Linked DNA regions of Pelodiscus sinensis. The protein of the gene in region 1 purifies or fractionates together with the protein of each later gene. This does not show direct contact. Links are inferred from orthologs where the notes say so. Each region holds a gene or a part of one and is shown in the gene's direction. Other genes may lie near its edges.

Region 1 (7,735 bases):
TCTACACAGCAGGACTTAACTCAAAACAAGCTACACAAATTAAGCTATGTCAATTGCGTAGCTTATTTTGAAATTGAAATTGGGAGCATCTACACAGCACTTATTTTGAAATAGAGCACGACTTCCCTTACTCCTCATACAATGAGGGTTACGGGGGTTGGAGTAAGACGTCCTCAGGTTGACAGTATTTTGACATTGTTTTAAAGGAACTGCCTGCTGTGTAGACGCAGACTACGTTATTTTGAAATAATGTTGCTATGCAGATGTGCCCTTGGAGATATTTACTGTTGGCAGTTGTAGATCGGCTACCATGCCATTGTAGAAAGCCTCATCACACCATCCCCTCTGTAAATTTATCAAGTTCAGTCTTGAAGTTCATTAGGGTTTTTGCTCTCACTACTCCTCTTGAAAGGCTTTCCCGGAACTTACTCCTCTGACAGCTACAAACTATCTGATTTCAAGCCTAAACTTGTTGATGGACAGTTTATATCCATTTATTCGTGTGTCCGTATTGGTGCTTAATTTAAATAACTCTTCTTCCTCCCTGGTATTTATCCCTCTGATGTATTTTTAGAAAGCAATCATATCTCCTCTCAATCTTCTTTTGGTTAGGCTAAACAAGCCAAGCTCTTTGAGTCTCCCCTCATAAAATAGGTATTCCAGTCCTCTGATCATCCTAGTAGTCCTTTTCTGCACCTGTCCCAGTTTGAATGCATCTTTCTTAGACATGGGAGACCAGAATAGCGCACATATGTTATATTGCACTCAACGTTATATTGTGTATCTATGTTATATTGCACTCAGTGTTCTATCCTGCTGTGTATTGCATCTTTGAGAGCCACTGCCTTCTTGATTCTTTAGCAGAAGCAAGAATTATTGGTTTTCCTATATCTGGGGCCGGATTTTGAACCACTTAAGTCCATAAGAGCTTTGCCATTGATTTAGAAGAGGAGCAGGGTCAGACCCCTGAGAACAATCTCCAGCTCTTGATGTCATATAGAACAATACCCTTGATTAATTAACACAGACACACAAATCCTCAAGTCTTAGCATTTAAGATGGACAAATGGCTTTCTTACTTAGTTGTGTGAGATCAAGCTGGAATCGTGAGCTGGACATAGATCCTCTGACAATTTAAGGAGACTTTGATCTTATAACATCTATCAACAAAATAACTGAGCACACTATTCTTGTGCATGCCAATAAAGTTTAGGTTGAGTGGAATACCTTATGATTTTCTAATAAGAAAGATTTTGTTCAGAAATAAACAGCACCAGAAAGCAGGGTGAAATCTAATAAATCTGCTAGCCCTGGTCTATACTAAGCAGTTATATTGGAAAAAAATATTTTGAAATAATAAGCAGAATGTCCACACTACCAACCCTGTTATTTTGAAACAACAGGCTGGTCGTTTCGAAATCTGTTCTCTTGCTTTCCTTGGGAAATAGGCTTATATAGAAATAGTTATTTCTGGAATTATTATTTTGAATTTAGTTATTTTGAAATAATTTCCTAGTGTAGACATGCCCCTAGATAAGTGAATTAGACCTGAATCAGGAAGACGTGTGTTCAGCTCCTGCTGAGCACAAGTCAACCTGGGTGTAGGAGGTGGCTTTCATGGTTTAGTATCAAAGTTAGGTATAGCCTCGGAGAAGAGAACCTGGAAAAAAAGATACTAAGGACGCTCCTACTTTACCTCTGTTTTAAACTCAAATTGCCTGACTATCTGCACATAAATCAGAATGGTGGTGCATTACATTCTTTGTATATTGTTACAAATGGTCATACATTATTAGGGCAACAGAGGATCAGACTCAACATGGAACAAGATCATCTGATTTATACTTTTGTGGGTCAGATACTTGACTGCTATAACTCAGCATTGCTACGTTTTTGCACCAATTGAGGATTTGGTCCATGTAATTCCACTGTGTGATTGTTCCTGATTTGCATCAACTGGAGAGAAGACTCAAGTGTGCATGTAAACTTTTGAAAATTAGATGACGCTTCCAAACATATCATGCCAACCTTACTCTCTTTTCCTTTCCAACTCCCCACTCCCATTTTTTTATTCTTACCTCGTGCCAGATGAATTGACCTTTCTATATCACACCTGTCACTTTTCAGTGCCTGAGTCTACTTTTCTAGATGCAGCACTTTGTCTGTGACTGACAAGAGGCTTTCTATCTGTTGCAGGATGGATTTTCTGCTTCTCTTTCCCTAAGTTGCTGGCATTTTGTGTTCTTTTCTCTTCATTCTATCTACACCTTTTATGTTTTCCTGCAGTCTTTTTCCTTGCTCCACTGTTTCTGTTTCCCCTCTTCTAAATCACTGTTTTCCTTAAATAACTGAAGGTTTCTAGAATCTACAAATGGAAGATCTTCTGTTTTCATATTAACTCACTTTCTAATTTGTTTAATTCAAAATGTTGAAAAAAAGTCAGAGTTCACAAAGCGAATCTGACCCTCAAATGTCCACAGGCAAGAGTTTAATTCTCTACATATTTTGTAAGATGCAGTAAAGTATATTTTCATGTTTTGATAATGTATTTGAAATTGCTTAAAATTCTTGGTGTATATTCAAACTTTCTCAGTAAAAACCACCCAATCCTTTAATATCGATATGCATTTGTTTTCTCAGTTTTGTACAGTATGTCAAGTTAGATGGCTCTTGTCTTGAATCAAAAATGAATCTATTTGGCTCTTGTCACCATAGTATCTGAGCACTTCACAATCATTTATGTATTTATTTAAATATTCTCAGTAAGGCAGTAGTCCCCCAGCCCCAGCCCCTCTGCTGAGCCCCCTCCCCCCCACAGGGAGGGGAGAAGGCAGGGCAGCATACATGTGCCCACAAGGAGGGGAAGAGATGCTAGGGGTGCATGGGGGTGCCCCAACCTCACCGGACCCTGGAGCACTGGGGAGGGAGGAGGTTGCATTGCATCTCGTGGCTCCCATCTCCCCAGCTCTTGGAGCATTGGGGGAGGAAGGAGGTTGCGCGTTGCAGCTCTTGGAGCACGGTGGGAGGGAGGAGGCTGCATGACGGAGCACGGTGGGAGGGAGGAGGCTGTGTGGTTCCAGGCTCCCTGGCCAGGAGCACGGGGAGGGTGGGCGCTAGGGGCAGCAACACTCCACCCCAGAACATTTACAGCAGGTGCTCTGGGGGCAGAGTGTGGGTGAGGCTGTGCCTTGCGGTCTGGGAAGGCAAAGCCTTCCCCCACCTAGGCTACCGGATGCCTATGAAGCTAAGGCTCAGATTCTGGGGATATAAAATTGCAGGGAAGAGGTGGGGCAAGGGTGTTTGGTTTTGTTGGATTAGAAAATGGGCAACCTTACCTCTAACTGCCACCATTCTACAAATGAATAAAGACTTTACTAAGGCCAGTTTTATTCTCATGTGTCAATGAACAGAATAAAGCTGGTTCCATTTTCACACACAGTTTCAAATACAGATTTGCCAGGGCAATAACTTGCAATCCAGGTACGATTTTTTTTAATCAAATTGTACATATTCTAACCTTGTGGTAGCTTGTGTCTTTGTATTTGTGGGCCAGTCTTTGGCATTCTTTATTAATGCCAAAAGAGTGAGTATCCCTTAGATATCTGATTGTGAAAGAAAATCTCCAGGGACCAGGACTAGGGATGTTAAATATCGGTTAATTGAATAGTTGATTAACCTTATGAATTCTTACTGATTATTCGATTATCCTATAGTCCCCGGGGGTAGGGCTGGCAGCCAGTGCACTCTGGCTCCACTCCTGAGGAACCCCTTGCCACTCCATGCTATTGCCTCTGTATCAGAGGCAGCAGCGTGGGGTGCCAGTCAGGAGCTGGTTTAAAAACCAGCTTCCCTTGCAGACCGGCTGCCTGTAGCCCTGGGCTGCCCCCTCTGACACAGAGGCAGCACCCCCTGTCCTGGGGTGGGAGGCAGGGCTAAATTCCTGGACCTCGCCCACCTAGCTCCTAATACACTTTAAATGCAGAACCATAGCAGGAGTAGGTCCTGGATCTGCTAAAAAGTATACTGGCAAGAAGTGGGAGGGAAACGTCTCTAGTCTATAGCATATGCGCTTTGCTTATGGTTATGTGACTACACTATTACATCCCTAACCAGGACTGGAAGAATTCTAGTGCTCAGTCAGTGCCAGTGTTTTTCAAACAGCTTGAGAGTGGGATCAAGCAGAACGAGCTGAATTTATGCAGAAACTCCCCCGTTAATCAGTTGCAGCAGCTCAGGGTGTAGGTGCTGCTGACACGAGGTGTTCCTTGAAACACGACAACCCCTCCTAAGGACGCTACAGTTCCTGCCATTCCTTAGCAGGCTTGGCTCTTCGGACAAAGCCCGGGCAACGCTCCACCTGCCCGGCGCGCTGATGCAGCCCCTGTGCCGCGCGCCGCGGAGCGATGGGGCATGGCGTGGAGCTCAGGCGGGCGCCCTGCGTGGCGCCCGCGGCACGGGCTGGTCCGGGGCCCCGGGAGATGCCCAGGGGGCGGGGGCGGCCCTCGCACGCTGACCTATGGCAGCGAGCAGGTGGCGGCGGCTGTCAGCACGCGGGGAGCCGGCCGGCGGCGCAGGCCCGCGCCCCCCACCGAGCGCACAGGAGCGACCCCGGCGAGGCGCGGGGAGGAGCCTGGGGGCAAGGCAGGGGGAGGGCCGCTCCCCGCCCTTGATTGGCGCAGGGGCTGCATGATGCCACGTCCGGCGGGGGAAGCCCTGCCTTGCCGCGGAGCCTCCCCGCCCTCGCCCTCTTTGCAGGTGGTGCGCGGCTGCAGCCGGCCGGGCTCACTGCTCCTGCCGGGGAGACGCGCGCTCGCCCCGGGCGCTGCAGCCCCCGCCAGCCGCTAGCGCGCCCCTTGGCTGCCGGCCTCCAACTTTGCCCAACCCGCCGGGGCTGGCTATTCGCTGGCAGCGCCCCCCGCGGCGCGTGTTCCCGCCAGCGGGGCTGGCCCGGCTCCCCCCCGGTGGCAGCTGCCCCAGCCCCGCGCGCTCAGCCCAGCGGAGCCGGGACTGGCCCCTTCGCCGCGCTGCTGGCAGTGGCAGCCGCTCCCGGGAGCTCGCCCTGCCCAGTCCCGCGGGCTCGTGCCTGTGGGGTGGGGATTGCGCCCCCGCCCCCGCCGCCTGATTTCCCCGGAGCGGGGCTTGGTCTCGTGAGCAGCGGCCGGGATGCGAGGGGGCCGGCGGGACTGAGCTGCCACCCGCGAGCCAGTGAGCGAGCGCCGGGCGCAGGCGGAGCCGGCGGGGCAGCGGGACCTTGGGCTCGTCCTTCGCGCAGCGGGCTCGGGGGCTCGGCGCGGCAGGAGGATGCATTTCTTCCCGTGGGGATTGTGGCTGCTGTGCGTCGCCGCCGCCCCGGCGCGGGGGGACAGCGGCAGCAAGGCGAGGAGCTGCGCCGAGGTCCGGCTGTTCTACGTGGCCAAAGGGTTCAGCCAGACCGGGGTCCCCCAGGCGGAGATCTCAGGTGAGCCTCCCTCCGCGCCTCGCCCCTGCCCCGGACACCCGGCAGCGCGCTGCAGAGCCGCTCCCGCAGGGGGCAACCTCTGCCCGGAGCCGCTTCGCCGCCGCGCTGCCGCGATACAAAGGGACTCCGCTTTGTCAGCCCGCCGCTGCGGGAAGCTGCGACTCTGGCAGGACGGCGCTCTGTGCGGGATGCAAACCGGGGTGGGGGGCGTTGGGCAGCGGCTCCGGAGGCATTGGGAGGGGATCCCCCTTCTGTACAGCATCCCCGCGTGTCTTCGTCTGTTCCCATCCGATTTCTCGTGAAGGAGCCCACCAATTGCACAGTGATCCATCCAAACAATGGTGTGATTTTCCTAGTCTCGCCTTCCCACGGGACCAGTGCAATAGGTTCCTCGGCAATAAATATCAACTTCAGTCTGTTCTGGAGTGTTGTGGAGAAAAACGATTTCTTGTAGGCTTGTGATTTTTGTTAAGGAGTCAGTCAGTTAGAAGTAAGGGAGTGGTGAAGTCAGACCTTAGATGTCTTCAGGAGGAGGGCATCCCCAGATGTGGCACACCAGCCCTTCTTAGCACTTGCAAAGTCTTCCGATAGACGAGATCTGTCTTGATTTTCTGTGGTGCAAGCATGTTTAAAGGAGATATTAGGTGATTGCTGTCCGGTGTTTTCATTATTGTACAATTACAATGAACTGGAGGATTTGGGTTAGAACTCAGGATCATCAAAATCCTATGGATTTGATTTCAAAGCTAGAAAGTGCCCCATAGTTACAAAAGAGAATAACTTTTGTTTATAATGTTCTGTTGGATGAAAACCAGCTTAAAGGCATTTGTCAGTTAAAAATTTAAGTGTCAAATGATTTTTATCAGGTGTTTGAAACAACCCCAGTCATCTACATCAGAATTGATTTCTGCTATATTAATATTGCATGTGAAATACAAACTAGATGGGGGAGGGTCGTGTCTGTTTTTTGGCAAATAAAGAGGAGTTTTCAGAAAATCTCTGAAACATAAGGAATATTTCAAGGTTTGGTTTATGTTTTTGAAAAATCTGCATTTATTTTTGTTTGTAAAGCTTTGCCGAAGTTCTGATTCACAGACTTGTGACCCATATCTAAGAGCTTTCTTGCTCACTTGTGGGAGCTACTTAGTTCAGACAAAGCATTAAGACATGCAAGTGTACGTGCCAGAGCCAACCTTCAGGGACATCTCAGTTAGATTGCAGTTTGTAGTTCTTTCCTAAGCTGCAGAATTTCTTATGAATACTTCATAATGTAGTTTTATGGGGACATTATTATCATCAGCTGACATACAAATGGAGAAGGCTGAACTTGTTGCCATACAAATGTGAACTTTTTCTTTGTTGAAAGGTGGATATTAAAGTAAAATGGAAGGTTTCAGAAAGTGAAATAGTGGAGAATTTAAAACCTATTTAAATTAAGGGGTTTGGGGAAAAATGGGGGAGGGGATGCAATTAATCCAGCTAAGCAAAAAAAGACCCTTTCCCCTTGGCTACAGATATCCGTAAAGGATTGTTTAAATATCTCATGCTGCTTAAATAGCTCATGCTGCTTATAAAGTCTTCAAGGGCGTAAACATTTTAAGAAACAATATAATGAGGAAGAGTACATGAAACCCTAAATGAAATGAGCTTCAGCATTGGTCATATTTTAGAATTGTGTGATATGCATTGCATAAGATATAAATATCTTGTACCCTCAGGGTCACTGTGTTCAAAACTGTGTTCAAAACTTCTAAAAATGCTGAGGTTGGTAAAGAAATAAGAGGAGACAGATTTCTAGGAACAAGGTTTATTATTTCTAAAGAATTACCAGTATTCACGTTTGCAATCTTAAGCAATAATGTTTGAACTATAGGAACAAATGGTTTACCTCTGACAGTGAAACTGTACAGATAAATATTGTAAAAATTGGTGGAATGAACTGAGACAAATGGGGGAATACTGTCTTCACATGTGAACGTTCTGCTGATAGTGCAGCCAATTGTGTACTTAAAATACAAAATGAGAACGCTTCATGTTCATTGTTGGTGATTGTCACGTGTACTTCTAAATTCTAAGTTCTAAATGTTTAGAAGTTTGAAGCTGTCATCTGTACTCTCTTAATATCTCTAATATATAGATAATGTAGATAAAACGTTTTACTGTGAAAATGTCAATTTTGAGTTGGCCCAGATTGTGTATGGTTCTGGTTTGTTGATTATTTTATACATGGAATGCACATACTGTTTACTTTTTCAGAATAAGGGTGTCTCAAATGGC
Region 2 (7,486 bases), on another chromosome or scaffold:
ACAGCCCTACGAGTCTGGCCTCCAGAGGGCCTAGGCTTCCAACCACCAGGCCGCCAGCCAGCCACATGTGATGACCACAAAATACAGTGCTCGCATTGCCAGCACCCCCGCAACTGCTGCAGCAATTAAGTCTGGAGGCCAGGAATAAGGTGATCCAGCTTGTCCTTTGGAGTAAAACAGCACATCACAGTGCAGGAGATGAATAGCTGAGACTAAATTACAAGACCACCACTGGTAGCTTCCCCAACTCTGCCCGCCCCTGCAGTCACAGGCAGAGTATAGCGAAGTCTGGGGAGTGCGGCACAAGTCACTAACAGCTGTGCTTTTAGATGTAGAAAAAGGATTTGCATTTGCAGGGCTTGACAAACGGCGGCAAAACCTACTCGCCAGCCCTGCACTGTGCATGAGCAAGACCCGCATTGCGCATGTGCGCGCCGCCGGTGAATGCTGCGACTGGCTGAAATCTACTCGCCACAGGCGAGTAGATTCAGTGATTCGTCGAGCCCTGTGCATATGCCAACAATACTCCAGACTTCACCGAACAGGCCTACCTTCTGAAAGATACAGACTCTTATTTCATGAAGTTATGCAAGTAACTCATGGGCTACATTCACACACACACACCCCACCCCAAGTTCCATGGTCTAACAAGCTTTTTTTTCTTAAGTTCTCCTTAAAGACTTTCTGGGAAGTCCTATAAATCCTGGTCTCTACAACCACTTTCAAGAAAACAGATGAACCGTGCACAAAGCTAAAAAGGGTGCTAATAACCTGGGACAAAACGTGCTAACCCTCCCCCTTCCTTTGCCTGCACACAGGAGCGGCCTGAGGCCGACTGCAGCAGCTGGCGCCCTAGGCGGGGCGGCGCGATTGGCGCCCCGCCTATACAGCCGTCAATGGCCGTGATGTCATCATCGGACACCCGGGCCAGCGGCGCCCTAGGCAGCTGCCTAGCTCGCCTAGGCTCACGAGCTGCCCCTGCCTGCACACTATTTAGATTGCAACTCTGGGTCAGGGACCTTGTCACTGCTGTTCTCCCAAGACACTTAAACGTTTTGGCAGCCTAGAAATAAATATGCAAAAGGAGTGACATACTTTTGATGCACGTTATCCTGGAAAATTTGGCTTTATCAAGTTGCACAGGCCAGAGCAGGCTTGGAAAACAATAACCAGGCTCAAAACACAGCGACAATACAAAGTGGCTTAGAGGCAGTTTACAATAATAGCACTGCTACTTTCAGGAGCCAATCATGTACAACTAGCAGCATGAATTTCTACAAATGAAGATTACAGAAAAAACCCTCTCGTACTTTTTAAACAGAACACCAGCAGGCCGCCTTATGGTTTTCACCATTATACTGGAACTAAAAGACTTAAACGAGATTTACTGTTCATGACTTATGTTTTATAGGGCAATGAAAAGAGATTAGTCAGTTTCATTTCTGTTGATAGATTGTAGTAAATTCCACTTTTAAATAGATTTCCAACACTGCAGGGGAAAAGGGTTAAAAACTGTTTCAAGTCTTTAAAAAAGAATAATTAAATATTTACTCACTGGGTTTTGCAATAGCTTGTTTTTACAATAAACTAATTTTGGAAGGTAACTGATTACAGCCTCTGTGATACTTTGCACTTCTCTAGCGCTTTCCATTATTGGTTACCAAAAATGTGACAGACATTAATGAATTTAAGCATCACAAAGGGGGATGCACGAGTTACTGAAGACAAAATTTAATCAAAACTACTCCTGGTGAGAATGAATGCAGAGGAACACCCCCAGCTGGACTTAGGCACTTAGAGACCAGAAGAAATACTCACTCACTTGTAAAATGATCAACAGGAACTATGTGGCGCTATTATTTTGCAGAACAGAACTGGATGTTTATAGATGGGAGATGGAGGCAGGGAAGTTGCCCACCTTGAAAACCACTAGGCAGAAAGCACTATAAGGGCAAAGTATTATTAGGCCAGTGTTTAGCTCACAGAACTTTCGCTGAGGGGAGCGGCTCCCAATGTTGGCTGGTGTGCCGAGGGAGGACACTCCCCCACACCATGACACAGCTGCCCCATTTTCTCCACTCTTGGTCTCTTTCTGTGCTCCTCTCCCTGCTCCCTGACTCACCAGGAGACTGCATGCTGCTTGAGGTGGGAACAGCAGCATCCATAGGTGGCTCCGTAGTGCCAGGGCTCGTGATCTGGAACTAAGCTGAACATCAAGGGAGCAGAAAAGAAATGCTTGGGATGGCCCATGTTTCCTCCCTACACCTGTGAGCTGAACAAGGAGCTGCAAGTGGTGCAAGACAGACTTTCAATCGGTGCCTGTTTTACTAGCAGCTGTGGGAATGTGTGCAACAGGGGTGGCCCCAAAACCATGGAACTTTCCTCATATGCGCTGCTCTTGGCCTCAGTTTTTGCCCTGCCACTGCAAGTACTTGCCCATCCCCCCCGCAAAAAAACCACCCCAAAGTTTGCCAAACACTGATTCAGGGGCATGAAGAACAAAAGACTATTCCAGGCAGACTGCTATCAACTCTGAGGAACTGGGGGTCCAACCAACACATACTTTCAAGGGAGGGCACTGTCAGCCAAAGTGAGGGTGTTCAATATTGGTTAATTGAATAGTTGAGTAACCTCATGAATCCTTATCAGTTAGCCGACTATTCTAGAGTCCCTAGGGGGCAGGGCTGGAAGCCAGTGCACTTCAGCCCCACTCCTGAGGAGTCCCCCTGCCACTCTACGTGGGGTGTCGGGGGGAGCCGGTCCACGAGGAGAGCCAGTTTAAAAACCAGCCTGTCGCCCTGTGTTCCTGCCTCTGATACAGAGGCAACAGCGCAGGGTGGCAGCAGCCCCTGCCTGGTGAGGGGAAGGAAATGCGTGTAGTCTATGGCATTAACTTATAAGCTTTTGCTTATCAGATAATCAGTTAATCAACTGCACTATTATATCCCTAGTGCGAATCCTGAAAACAAGGAACTACAGACACCAGGCTAGTGGGCTAGATGGACCTTTGGTCTGACCCAGTACAGCCATTCTTATGTTCTTACCATGGTGTGTACAATCGTGTATCATTCTGACAGTTACAAGTGTAAATTCAGAGGAGAACCCAGCTCTCTAGCTGTGCATTCGCAGAAGGAAACCCTCACCGCAGGAATATGGGGAGCTCAGTGCCTGGGGCACCTCTGCTGAGCAGAAAAAGAAAGGACCAGACGAATGACAACTGCAGGAGAAGGACTGGGTCACTGAATTAAGAGCCCACTTAATTCCACAAACCAACAAACTCTGATCAGATGTCAAATCATTCCTGTGACTTGACTGAAAGCAGTCAGACTAACGGCTTGTCTATACTGCTGTGCTACCAGGCTGTCAGGTCACTGAGCTGTAACTTTCTTGTTCAGGGGTGTGACAAAGCATCTCCCGAGCACAGCAAGTTACAGCGCTGTGAAGTGTGGGTGTAAACAGGCTCCCAGCACTGGGAACTATGCCCCAAGCATAGAGGCTGTTCATCTAGAGCACTGGGAGAGCTCTACGAGCACACTGCCACAGCCACCTTCCCGCATCAAATCCATTAACTGCAAATGATCTCCGCTAGTCACTAACATTCATCACCCGCCCCGGGAAATGAACAGGGAGCAGCAGCACAACCTGAGAGCCCCAGGCCAGGGGTTTGGGGGAGGTGGGATAGCCGCCTGGGGAGAGCTTGTTGCCGCAGCAGGCGTGTGCCGGGAGCCAGGGTGGCTGGGGGCCAGGGTGGCCGGGGCGGCCGGGAGCCAGGGTGGCCGGGGGCCGGGGGGGCCGGGGTGGCCGGGGGGGCCGGGAGCCGGGGGGGCCGGGGCGGCCGGGGATGCTGGGGGCCGGGGGGGCCAGGGTGGCCGGGAGCCGGGGGGGCCGGGAGCCGGGGGAGCCGGGGGGGCCGGGAGCCGGGGGGGCCGGGGGGGCCGGGGTCCGGGAGCCGGGAGCCAGGGCCGCGGCAGAGCCAGAACCCCTGTGACCCGACTGCTGGCGGGCCGGGCTGCTGCGTGTGGCCAGGCCCCGCGCTGAGCTCCCCGGGCTCCTGCTGCCAGCCCCGCCCGGCCGGCGGCCCCAGACAGGCACTCGGCGGGGAGCGCAGCACGGCGAGCCGGGGCGGGGCGGGGCTCGGCAGCGCGCCCCCCCCCCCGGCCCAGCCCCTCACCGAGGCGGCGGGCCGCGCAGTACTTGGCGGCGGCCGTGAAGCGCGTGAGGCTCCCGATCGCGCGCACCGCGGCCGCCATCTTGCTCGGGGAGGTCGAAGCGGCGGCGGGGCGGGTCCTTGAGGCGCGGGGCCTTCGCACCCCCCAGGGCTGCCCGCGGCGCTGCCTGATTGGCTCGCCCAGCCCAGGCGCGGCGCGGGGCGGGCTGCCTTCAGGCACCGGCGAGGGCAGCTACGGCAGGGCCGGCGGGGGCTTTCCTGAGGCAGGCACCGCCCAGGGCAGCGAGCGGGGCCGCCACCGCGTAGCGACGGTAACGGCCGCGGCGCGAGCCCTGCGGGTCCCTGGCGCGTGGCCCCGCCCCGCCCCGCGTGGGGGAGGGGATCGCTGCAGGTGGCTGGAGGGGGAGGCGCTGCCGGGGACGGGGGACTACGTGGGGGGGGGGCTGAAGGAGGCGGGGCCTGGCTGCAGGAGGGGCAGGGCTGTGAGGGGCAGGGGGCTGAAGGAGGCGGGGCCTGGCTGCAGGAGGGGCGGGGCTGTGAGGGGCAGGGGGCTGAAGGAGGCGGGGCCTGGCTGCAGGAGGGGCGGGGCTGTGAGGGGTAGGGGGTTGAAGGAGGCGGGGCCTGGCTGCAGGAGGGGCGGGGCTGTGAGGGGCAGGGGGCTGAAGGAGGCGGGGCCTGGCTGCAGGAGGGGCGGGGCTGTGAGGGGCAGGGGGCTGAAGGAGGCGGGGCCTGGCTGCAGGAGGGGCAGGGCTGTGAGGGGCAGGGGGTTGAAGGAGGCGGGGCCTGGCTGCAGAAGGGGCGGGGCTGTGAGGGGCAGGGGGCTGAAGGAGGCGGGGCCTGGCTGCAGGAGGGGCAGGGCTGTGAGGGGCAGGGGGTTGAAGGAGGCGGGGCCTGGCTGCAGAAGGGGCGGGGCTGTGAGGGGCAGGGGGCTGAAGGAGGCGGGGCCTGGCTGCAGGAGGGGCGGGGCTGTGAGGGGCAGGGGGCTGAAGGAGGCGGGGCCTGGCTGCAGGAGGGGCGGGGCTGTGAGGGGTAGGGGGTTGAAGGAGGCGGGGCCTGGCTGTAGGAGGGGCAGGGCTGTGGGGGGCAGGGGGCTGAAGGAGGCGGGGCCTGGCTGCAGGAGGGGCGGGGCTGTGAGGGGCAGGGGGCTGAAGGAGGCGGGGCCTGGCTGCAGGAGGGGCAGGGCTGTGAGGGGCAGGGGGCTGAAGGAGGCGGGGCCTGGCTGCAGGAGGGGCAGGGCTGTGGGGGGGGCTGAAGGAGGCGGGGCCTGGCTGCAGAAGGGGCAGGGCTGTGAGGGGTAGGGGGCCGAAGGAGGCGGGGCCTGGCTGCAGGAGGGGCGGGGCTGTGAGGGGCAGGGGGCTGAAGGAGGCGGGGCCTGGCTGCAGGAGGGGCGGGGCTGTGAGGGGCAGGGGGCTGAAGGAGGCGGGGCCTGGCTGCAGGAGGGGCGGGGCTGTGAGGGGTAGGGGGTTGAAGGAGGCGGGGCCTGGCTGCAGGAGGGGCGGGGCTGTGAGGGGCAGGGGGCTGAAGGAGGCGGGGCCTGGCTGCAGGAGGGGCGGGGCTGTGAGGGGCAGGGGGCTGAAGGAGGCGGGGCCTGGCTGCAGGAGGGGCGGGGCTGTGAGGGGTAGGGGGCTGAAGGAGGCGGGGCCTGGCTGCAGGAGGGGCAGGGCTGTGAGGGGCAGGGGGCTGAAGGAGGCGGGGCCTGGCTGCAGGAGGGGCAGGGCTGTGAGGGGCAGGGGGCTGAAGGAGGCGGGGCCTGGCTGCAGGAGGGGCGGGGCTGTGAGGGGTAGGGGGTTGAAGGAGGCGGGGCCTGGCTGTAGGAGGGGCAGGGCTGTGAGGGGCAGGGGGCTGAAGGAGGCGGGGCCTGGCTGCAGGAGGGGCAGGGCTGTGAGGGGCAGGGGGCTGAAGGAGGCGGGGCCTGGCTGCAGGAGGGGCAGGGCTGTGGGGGGGGCTGAAGGAGGCGGGGCCTGGCTGCAGAAGGGGCAGGGCTGTGAGGGGTAGGGGGCCGAAGGAGGCGGGGCCTGGCTGCAGGAGGGGCGGGGCTGTGAGGGGCAGGGGGCTGAAGGAGGCGGGGCCTGGCTGCAGGAGGGGCGGGGCTGTGAGGGGCAGGGGGCTGAAGGAGGCGGGGCCTGGCTGCAGGAGGGGCGGGGCTGTGAGGGGTAGGGGGCTGAAGGAGGCGGGGCCTGGCTGCAGGAGGGGCGGGGCTGTGAGGGGCAGGGGGCCGAAGGAGGCGGGGCCTGGCTGCAGAAGGGGCGGGGCTGTGAGGGGTAGGGGGCTGAAGGAGGCGGGGCCTGGCTGCAGAAGGGGCGGGGCTGTGAGGGGTAGGGGGCTGAAGGAGGCGGGGCCTGGCTGCAGAAGGGGCGGGGCTGTGAGGGGTAGGGGGCTGAAGGAGGCGGGGCCTGGCTGTAGGAGGGGCAGGGCTGTGAGGGGCAGGGGGCTGAAGGAGGCGGGGCCTGGCTGTAGGAGGGGCGGGGCTGTGAGGGGTAGGGGGCTGAAGGAGGCGGGGCCTGGCTGTAGGAGGGGCGGGGCTGTGAGGGGTAGGGGGCTGAAGGAGGCGGGGCCTGGCTACAGAAGGGGCGGGGCTGTGAGGGGTAGGGGGCTGAAGGAGGCGGGGCCTGGCTGCAGGAGGGGTAGGGCTGTGAGGGGCTGAAGGAGGTGGGGCCTGGCTGCAGGAGGGGTAGGGCTGCTGGGGGCTGAAGGAGGCGGGGCCTGGCTGTAGGAGGGGCAGGGCTGTGAGGGGCAGAGGGTTGAAGGAGGCGGGACCTGGCTGCAGGAGGGGTAGGGCTGTGAGGGGCAGAGGGCTGAAGGAGGTGGGGCCTAGCTGCAGGAGGGGCAGAGGGTTAAAGGAGGCGGGACCTGGCTGCAGGAGGGGCAGGGCTGTGGGGGGGGCTGAAGGAGGCGGGGCCTGGCTGCAGAAGGGGCAGGGCTGTGAGGGGTAGGGGGCTGAAGGAGGCGGGCCTGGCTGCAGGAGGGGTAGGGCTGTGAGCGGCAGAGGGGTGAAGGAGGTGGGGCCTGGCTGCAGGAGGGGTAGGGCTGTGAGGGGTAGAGGGCTGAAGGAGGTGGGGCCTGGCAGTAGGAGGGGTGGAGCTCTGAGAGGCAGGGGGCTGAAGGAGGCGGGGCCTGGCTGCAGGAGGGGTAGGGCTGTGAGGGGCTGAAGGAGGTGGGGCCTGGCTGCAGGAGGGGTAGGGCTGCTGGGGGCTGAAGGAGGCGGGGCCTGGCTGTAGGAGGGGCAGCGCTGTGAGGGGCAGAGGGTTGAAGGAGGCGGGACCTGGCTGCAGGAGGGGCAGGGCTGTGGGGGGGCTGAAGGAGGCGGGGCCTGGCTGC

The links. Proteins that work in one complex are often made in the same cells at the same time.
Region 2: the proteins of GPC1 (region 1) and HADHB purify together in Homo sapiens (co-immunoprecipitation; 3 studies listed by BioGRID and IntAct, counting the BioPlex papers as one, with this or other methods). This does not show direct contact. The link is inferred for Pelodiscus sinensis from reciprocal best matches to the Homo sapiens genes GPC1 and HADHB.

Annotation. Positions count from the first base shown.
Region 1 is NC_134720.1:8,556,206-8,563,940, reverse strand, and holds the start of GPC1 (glypican-1), read left to right. Parts: upstream 1-4,725; 5' UTR 4,726-5,301; coding exon 5,302-5,458; intron 5,459-7,735. UniProt on the Homo sapiens protein: Cell surface proteoglycan that bears heparan sulfate. Binds, via the heparan sulfate side chains, alpha-4 (V) collagen and participates in Schwann cell myelination.
Region 2 is NW_027465862.1:360,372-367,857, reverse strand, and holds the start of HADHB (trifunctional enzyme subunit beta, mitochondrial), read left to right. Parts: upstream 1-4,352; 5' UTR 4,353-4,479; exon of another isoform or gene 4,480-4,559; intron 4,560-7,486. Other genes in the region: HADHA (trifunctional enzyme subunit alpha, mitochondrial), read right to left, coding at 4,172-4,250. UniProt on the Homo sapiens protein: Mitochondrial trifunctional enzyme catalyzes the last three of the four reactions of the mitochondrial beta-oxidation pathway.